Drosophila melanogaster: one gene and its partner. The protein of the gene in region 2 interacts with the protein of the main gene of each other region in a pairwise test. Each region holds a gene or a part of one and is shown on either strand. Other genes may lie near its edges.

Region 1 (3,600 bases), on a different chromosome or scaffold from region 2:
CCCTGAGCTGGCGGCTGCAATCCCAATCCCTGGCGAGGAGACAGCTGCTGGGGCTGCTGTTGCTGCTGGGTTTGAGACACCTGTTGCTGCTGTTGTTGCTGGGACTGGGATAGCACCTGCTGCTGTCGCTCCTGGATGCGTTGAAACTGCTGATCCTCATCCCTCTGAGGACCCGCCCTCAGCTCGGCCGGAGCCATACCATCGACGTACTTCACATCCGCCGGATTTGTGGCCGGTTGCTGTGCAATCGAGATGTTGACATGGGTGGCCGCATCCACCTGGCTGCAGGCCACCAGCAGGAGCACCAGCACTCCTCGGAACATCCTGTTCTAATCCTGTTACCAATCCGAAGTCAAAAATCCTAGCTGTGTGTCCAATCACTGCTGACCACCACCAAAGCTGACCGCTGTCTGATCGATAGTGGAGTGTGCTCCGCATATTTATACGGATTTTGGGTGGATTCGGAATCAAAATTGGGGGAGCGATCGCATTCGCAATCGCGATCGCGATCAGTGTCAAAGTCAACTGCAGCACTGGGAATAGCAATGCATACACACTATGGCGACAATAGCTTCGATAGCTTCGCTACTGACCTGGGCCAAACTGTTTAGGGATGAGTCTCAGATGCTTAACCTAGTTCTACAATTAAAGGCATTCGAGCGATCGCATTTGAGCGATGATGCATTCAACAAATTGCTGTCATCGCTTCACACTTGTGTGGCACGCACCAGCACTGAGAGAAAAGGGGCCTAAGTTCGTTCATATATCACAGATATATCATTTAATATGCGATTTTATTAAAATAATTTCTTGGGAAAATTTGGGAAAAGTTCTTTCGGGTAAAAGAAGCTAATCCAATAGAGATCTTTAATTTCGCTCCAGCTCATCAGTTTGGTTTTTCTCCGCCTGATCTCCACTGCGAATTTCGATGGCATCCGTAAATGGTGAGTGCAGCATTTTCATGTAATTGTCGGAAGGTCGGAGTCGCCGCTCCATTGGCAGCTGGTTTGAACTTGAAATCCGGCCGAGACGTTGAACTGCTCCACTGGAGGAGGAGCAGCTCGAGATCGGCGCCCCAATGGGCTGACGGATTCGCATTTGTTGGTTTTGGGGGTGCTGGTCAGGCAAACTTGCGCAATCGAAGTTTGGCGAGCATTTGGCGAACACTCGGAGCACTCGAATTCGGAAAGAAGGTAAAGGTTAATGTGAAGTACTTTTGCTTCTTTCTGCACTTAAAGTAACCACCAATAAGGTCAAATTGGTAAGGGGGAATATTTTAAAACAGATATTGCCTACTCACAGAAAAAGTAACTTTTCTTTCAAAAATATCTAAAGGATATTAAAGCAAACTTGTTTTGAATATCATTATAGAGAAAGGCAAATATGGGTTTTAAAATCTAAAACTCAGACTAATTGATCAAGGTCCTTTCAAAGATTAATTAGTTTTAAAACAATGCGAGCTTTCGTGGTCATTAAGTTGAACAAGTTTTCAAAAATTGTGCTCTACCGTTGAAAACATCATACCTTTCTTTTGTGAATTTCGTTTTTCCCTTAATATGACATCTCCAAATTTCACAGTCACCTAACAAATATATATGGCTTGGAAACAGAAAAATAAACTCCTTTTTGACACTTGTAAAAACCAGTTAAGCTGTGGCGCCGTAAACGCCAGATCCTCGATGATGCAGTCCATCCAGTCTAGGATCAACGTGCTTAACACCATTGCTGCTTCCAGCAAGCGGATTGAACGCGCCAGCGTTGACACGGTAAGTCCGAATTGATACAGTTCCAACTACCGATCAAAGTACGTGCCCGGCGTCGCCAAACACCCAGGTGATAGTGTGGTAACCACGAATGGCGTTTATTATGTTTGCGGGTGGGAATCAAAACCAGTAAGGAGTAGACAATATATATACCATGCGGTGCATGTGGCCGGCCACAAGACTATCTGTGGCCAGACGGTTACAAGCTAAAGCTACGCGAAAACACAGTCCAAAAGAGCAGCTAACGTCTAGGGCACATCTACAGCAGCTTTTCAATGTCCTTGGCGATGTCCATGGGATCGGTGGTCGGGGCATATCGGTTGATGGGCACGCCCTCCTTGTTCACCAGAAACTTGGTGAAGTTCCACTTGATTCCGCTGCCCAGGGTGCCGGTCTGCTTGGCCTTTAGGTATTTGTACAGCGGCGCCGCATTGTCTCCATTCACATCGACCTGCGGGGGTGGGGCAAGTTTAGTGACTCGGTCTACAGCAATCGGCTAGCAGCTTTAATAGTCTTACCTTGGCGAACACCTCGCCGATGTCAGCCTTGGAGTCGCGCAGGTGGCACACCATGGCCTCTCCATCGGCCTCCGGCATCTGGGACCCAAACTGATTGCACGGGAAGTTGAGGATCACCAGGCCGCGCTCGCCGTACTTCTCCTTTAGATCCGTCAGCTTCTCGTAGTTGTTCTTGGTCAGGCCGCACTTGGAGGCGATGTTCACCACCAGGACCACCTTGCCCTTGTACTTTTCCAGGGAAACATCGTTGCCATGGGTATCCTTCACGGTGAACTCGTAGATCGAGGCGGCGTTCTTGTAATCTCCGTTAGCAGACATGTCGATCTGGAAGCAATAGAAAGTGGGAGTTAGAATTGGGTAATTACTAGTGGCTGTGAAGGCTTGGGTCGATGTTTTGATCAAGAGATATAGATATTTATAGCCTTATCTTCAATCGGGGTATGAAACACTATATTCTGTATCAAAATCGACCCAGGCTACGCGGTTCATTGCAGTGAACAGGCAACAGAGAACAGAGAACAGAGAACACAGGCAGTGGCAAAGGCTACAACGTTTAGTTAGGCGCAGAATCAAGCAACTGAGTTAGTCAACGGGTTAGGATCTAGTCAACTAGCAATCAGCACTACTCACGGCAGCTGCTGTGGAGTGCTGGGCGGCTGAGGAGATGGCGTTCATGGGCGTGGCCGCACAGCTCACGGGAAGCATGATGGTGCAGAGGCGAAGGCACTGCCTCTGACCGCGACTCAGCTCGAGGACGGGGCCAGGGGTCCGCCTCATCGAGTAGCACCTGAGGGCCTGGCGGGAAATGTTCTGAAACTGCCTGAGACTCATTCTTTAAATGCTGCAAATAATAACCGGGCAGAATGTTCAAATTTAGTGAAAGCTTAGGCAAGTGAAGGAATTACTGGTGTGGATGTGTACGTTGTGTATCAGATCGAACAACAATCGTTTCAAAACAATTCAAATGGGAAAATATAAAAATCAAGTCCACATTTCTACTGATTAACGAAATAGTTAAGTAGATAAGAGCAAGTAGTAAGTAAAGTAGTAAGATAGCTCAAAGCTATCTTATTTCCGAATAAGAAAGTGTGGAAATGTATGTGGTGTATAGATTGTATTCGACAACCCGACGACAAACATCCAAGATTATTTCACGTTTTGATAATGGGTTTCCTAATAGTTGTATGTTGTTTCATAGACATTTACGAGGGTGCTATCAGGCTTCTGGTTACAGTGACGCTGCATAATTCATCGGGGTCAAAGTCAAGAGCTATATGTACATATATGTATATCCCAGCACCCTGTGAGTCACGCAACCT
Region 2 (3,957 bases):
ATTAACTGGAAAGAGCCCGAAGAAAGGAAATGGTATCCCAAAAATATCTGGGCACATACGTTTGTATGTATATGATGGGATCGCAACGATTCCTACGTGTATTTAAATGACCATCGCGATAAGCCAAAAAAGCCAAAATATACGAGTGGGATTAGTGGGCATATACAGATGCGATGTTCCCATGCTGAGCGACGAGGATCATTAGCGAAGTAAACCACTGACGATCGCTATCATAATACTGGCATGGCAAACATACGTACGTACAGAGATACCTGGCTGACTGACTGACCAGCGAAAGCAACCCATTGATAAGACCGCTACAGTGGACTATCTAAACCTAATAGCTGTGACAACCGCAAATTGCATGAGGAATACCATATCGACCGGAGGGGTAGTACCGCAGGGTAGGGGAATGTACAGGTAGTGGGACACAGGTAATGACAATAAACATTCTCCACTTATCAGCAATCCGCTGATGCACGCACACAGAGCGAAAATTAGGGCACGTTTCACGCACACCACGGTTTTGGATATTATGTTAGATAATATAGATTATAATTGTTATACCATTTTGCTCTATTTATATATTTTTATATCTTAAGAATGCCTAATTAGTCAATAGTAATAGTAGACCTTGTTTGCTCTGTGCACTTGTGGTTAAGGAAATATTGAGATGATGTTGCGGTTTTGGTTTAGACTTGGAGCTCAGACTTAAGTTTTGGGTTTTTGCCTTTTGATTTTTCGTTTTTTTTTTTTGGCATGCGATAAGACTCGAGACAAAGCCAATTTCCCGCCGATTTCATTGGAAAGATATGGAGTATAGGGGGTTATACATATGTGCTAGCAACAGCTGATTAGCCATTTGAGCAATTTGCAGCACAATCCGTACACATTATCAAAATTTGAGCCGTTTATCATCAGGTGCGTGAAAGCAAGAGGGCGGTGCCCGATGAGGTGAGGAAATGACAACGGCGACAGGAATGCGAATGCGAATATACGAATGCGAATGCGATTGTATGTATGAATGGTATGTAGATGTACGATGGGTATATATGGTAGGTGCTATAAGGTGGCCTGCGAATACCTGGCCGATTAGCAATCCACTGTCAAAATGCATTGAAAGCGAAAGACGACACTAAAGGAAACAGGGACCAAGGGTGCAATGTACCGAGTGTGTAAACCGAAGAGAACCAGGCACAATGTAAAGAAATCCAACGCACTTTTGGCGAGAAAGACAAAAGAGCTTTTCACTCAGAAAAAAAAAAGAATAGTTGTACAGCAGTAATTATTACTATTTATTTAAAGTTAGGTTTTAATCTTTTTCCAAAGATATTGTACAAAGATTTAGTATGATAACCCAAACTGGGAGCAATTAATGGCCAATCCAAATTCACCATCTCGAGTGTGCACTGTATTTTCTTCGAGTGAAAGAAGGGCAAGCGATCAAGAGAGATAGAGTGAGAAGAGAGAGCGGGTGGAAGAGCGAAAAAAGGAGTCCGCGTGGTCGGTGAACTTGAACTTGTGAAAGGATGGGGGAACTACCGGTAAGTGGCTTTATGGATGGGCTACGATCATCACTTTCAATTAAATTACCAGGGGAACGCCAATGCCGCCAAAAGTCGCAACCCGGGAGCCTAGGAACTGGGAATCTCTAGTTCTGAAGATCTCAAGATCTCTGGAACCTGCTCCAATTTTTGTGCGCACTCGCACTCACTCGCCGACAAACTTCACTTCACTTTTCGCACTTAACTCGGCTGCTGTTGTTGTTGTTGTTACAAAACAATTAAATATAAATAACAACGTTGTAGCGCAAATAAAAAAAATTAAACAAAAAAAAATAAATAAAGACCGGGGGAAAAATATAAAAAAAAAGATGTGTATTTAATTGAGCGCGACACGCAGTGATCTTGTGCGACACAATATTATTTTACTTGAGTTGCAGCACAATTTCAATTCTCGCGATCGCCTTACGACTACGGGACTACGGCTTTACGGATTCCGAAGATTACGGGTTCAATTTCTTCTCCACAATTCTCCTTCAGCGAACGAACGAACGAACAACCGACCGACCGACCGACCGTTTGTGGCCGAGTGCGAACTCGAACTAAACTGAACTGAACTGAAGCCGCCGACAAAACGAAGATCGTCGCCGGCAGCAACAACTCGCTGCGATAATAGCAGCAGCAACAACAACAGCAACAACACAAGCAAAATTACGAGATGCGAAACGATGGCGCACAGTGGTCACACTCCTACTGAAAACTCTCCATTCAGTTGATGGATAATGTTAAAAGTTCTTTGCGCCACAAGATATGTATATGAATCTAAACTATTTATCAATAATAAAAGTATATTAAGAGGTATTTTTAACTTAACAGCACAATGGTCGAAGAGTTAAGGAAAGTTGTATCATATGTTTACAGAACATGTTAACAGCACTTTACTCCACAAGATATATGAAACCATGGAGTAATAGCTTAATAGTTAAACTATATTAAAAAAGAACTTAAACTTAACTCTATTGTGGTCACATGTCAGTCATAAGATCTTACATTTTTCAATATATTAATTACAACCATTTACCCAACCATACTAATTTATGAAAGTATAATATCAAAACTATAATATAATGTATTAAGCAAACTTTACGCTTACTCATAGATCATTGTTGTCACTGTGGTTAACATAGGTTGTAAGGAAGATAGCAAAGTTTTTAACTTTGTTAAAGAAATATTTAATATTAAAGTTTATTCTTCTGCTACTAAGTCAACTTACTGTATTAAAAGTTTCCTAAACTATTCTTTCCGTAAATTAACAATGTTTTAAAATGGAAATTACTATGAATGCAATGGATTGTTATATTGGTGTTTTACGGTTACAAAATTTTCTTTAAAAAAGCGCGGAGTTGGCAAAAAATAAATATTGCTCACCAAAGTGAATTATTAAACGGCAGGTGCTGATTTACTTTCGATTTTGGAAAAGGTGCTTGTAATTATCAAAAATTTATGCTGTCCCAATTTAATTAAACGTGTAATGCAAAATAAGCTTATATTGTTTAAAACAAGTTATAGCTGAAAGCCAAAGCTATGGCACATGGAAATCTAAAATGGTTGTTTTGCAATATATCAGTAATATTTTTTCACATGGTACTGCTGACCAAATCAATATTTCTTGCTGTAAAATGAGACTTTTAATTGTCGGAAAATTATGACACCCATAAATTTTAATTAGCAATCTGTTCTTTTTGTCTTTCGTTGTTTGGTTTTAGCTGGAAATTGAATGCACAGACTTTGGTTCACAATCTTAACAGATTCTCTTGAAAATTATCTTTTATCAGTTTTACTATCGTATATGAATAAGTATTTATATTAAAAGATATATTATTGTGCTTAACCCGGTTATATCTTGTTAAGAGGGCGACGTGTTTGTTTCGCTTGATTTGCAGCTTTGTTTGCTATGTGATCGCATTTTTTGCTCGCACTTATTAATTTTTTTTTTTTACAATTCACCTTGTATTGCCAGCCACAAACAATTTGAAAACGCGAAAACTGTCGATGACCGATAAGCAATTGTCGATTACCGATTAGCGTTTTGACTTCTGGAATTGGAAAGAAGCTTCTGATTTCTGATTTTTCACCTTTTTTTTAGCCCTTCCATTTCGAAATTCAGGTTTTCTTGACAGACCCCCATACCCGCCCCATTTGTCGTGTTGTTCTTCTTGTTGTTGTAAAGTGCCATTGTGTCGTGTCGTCGATCTCATTCGCAAATTATCTTTGTTTGCGAAATTGTAATTGTTTTTGCCGTGCACAATTCAGCAAGAAACCGAAGAAAAGGGCTGGTCTCGAAGTCACATTACCCTCTGATAGTTATTATTCCTTCACCTGCGATCTTGACCATCTCAAAAATTAAAAAAAAAAAAAAATGGTAAATAAATATATGAAAATTCATAACTAGATA

Evidence for each region. Proteins that work in one complex are often made in the same cells at the same time.
Region 1: the proteins of spri (region 2) and Strip interact in a two-hybrid assay, tested with the Drosophila melanogaster proteins (one study listed by BioGRID).

What each region holds. Positions count from the first base shown.
Region 1 is NT_037436.4:3,326,865-3,330,464, reverse strand, and holds the start of Strip (striatin interacting protein), read left to right. Parts: upstream 1-1,593; 5' UTR 1,594-1,595; coding exon 1,596-1,766; intron 1,767-1,838; exon of another isoform or gene 1,839-2,022; coding exon of another isoform or gene 2,023-2,214; intron 2,215-2,281; coding exon of another isoform or gene 2,282-2,605; intron 2,606-2,911; coding exon of another isoform or gene 2,912-3,112; exon of another isoform or gene 3,113-3,122; intron 3,123-3,600. Other genes in the region: CG14961 (uncharacterized protein), read right to left, coding at 1-323; Gtpx (glutathione peroxidase homolog with thioredoxin peroxidase activity), read right to left, coding at 2,023-2,214, 2,282-2,605, 2,912-3,112.
Region 2 is NC_004354.4:10,583,317-10,587,273, forward strand, and holds the start of spri (sprint), read right to left. Parts: upstream 2,107-3,957; 5' UTR 1,594-2,106; intron 1-1,593. UniProt on the Drosophila melanogaster protein: Potential Ras effector protein. May function as a guanine nucleotide exchange (GEF), by exchanging bound GDP for free GTP.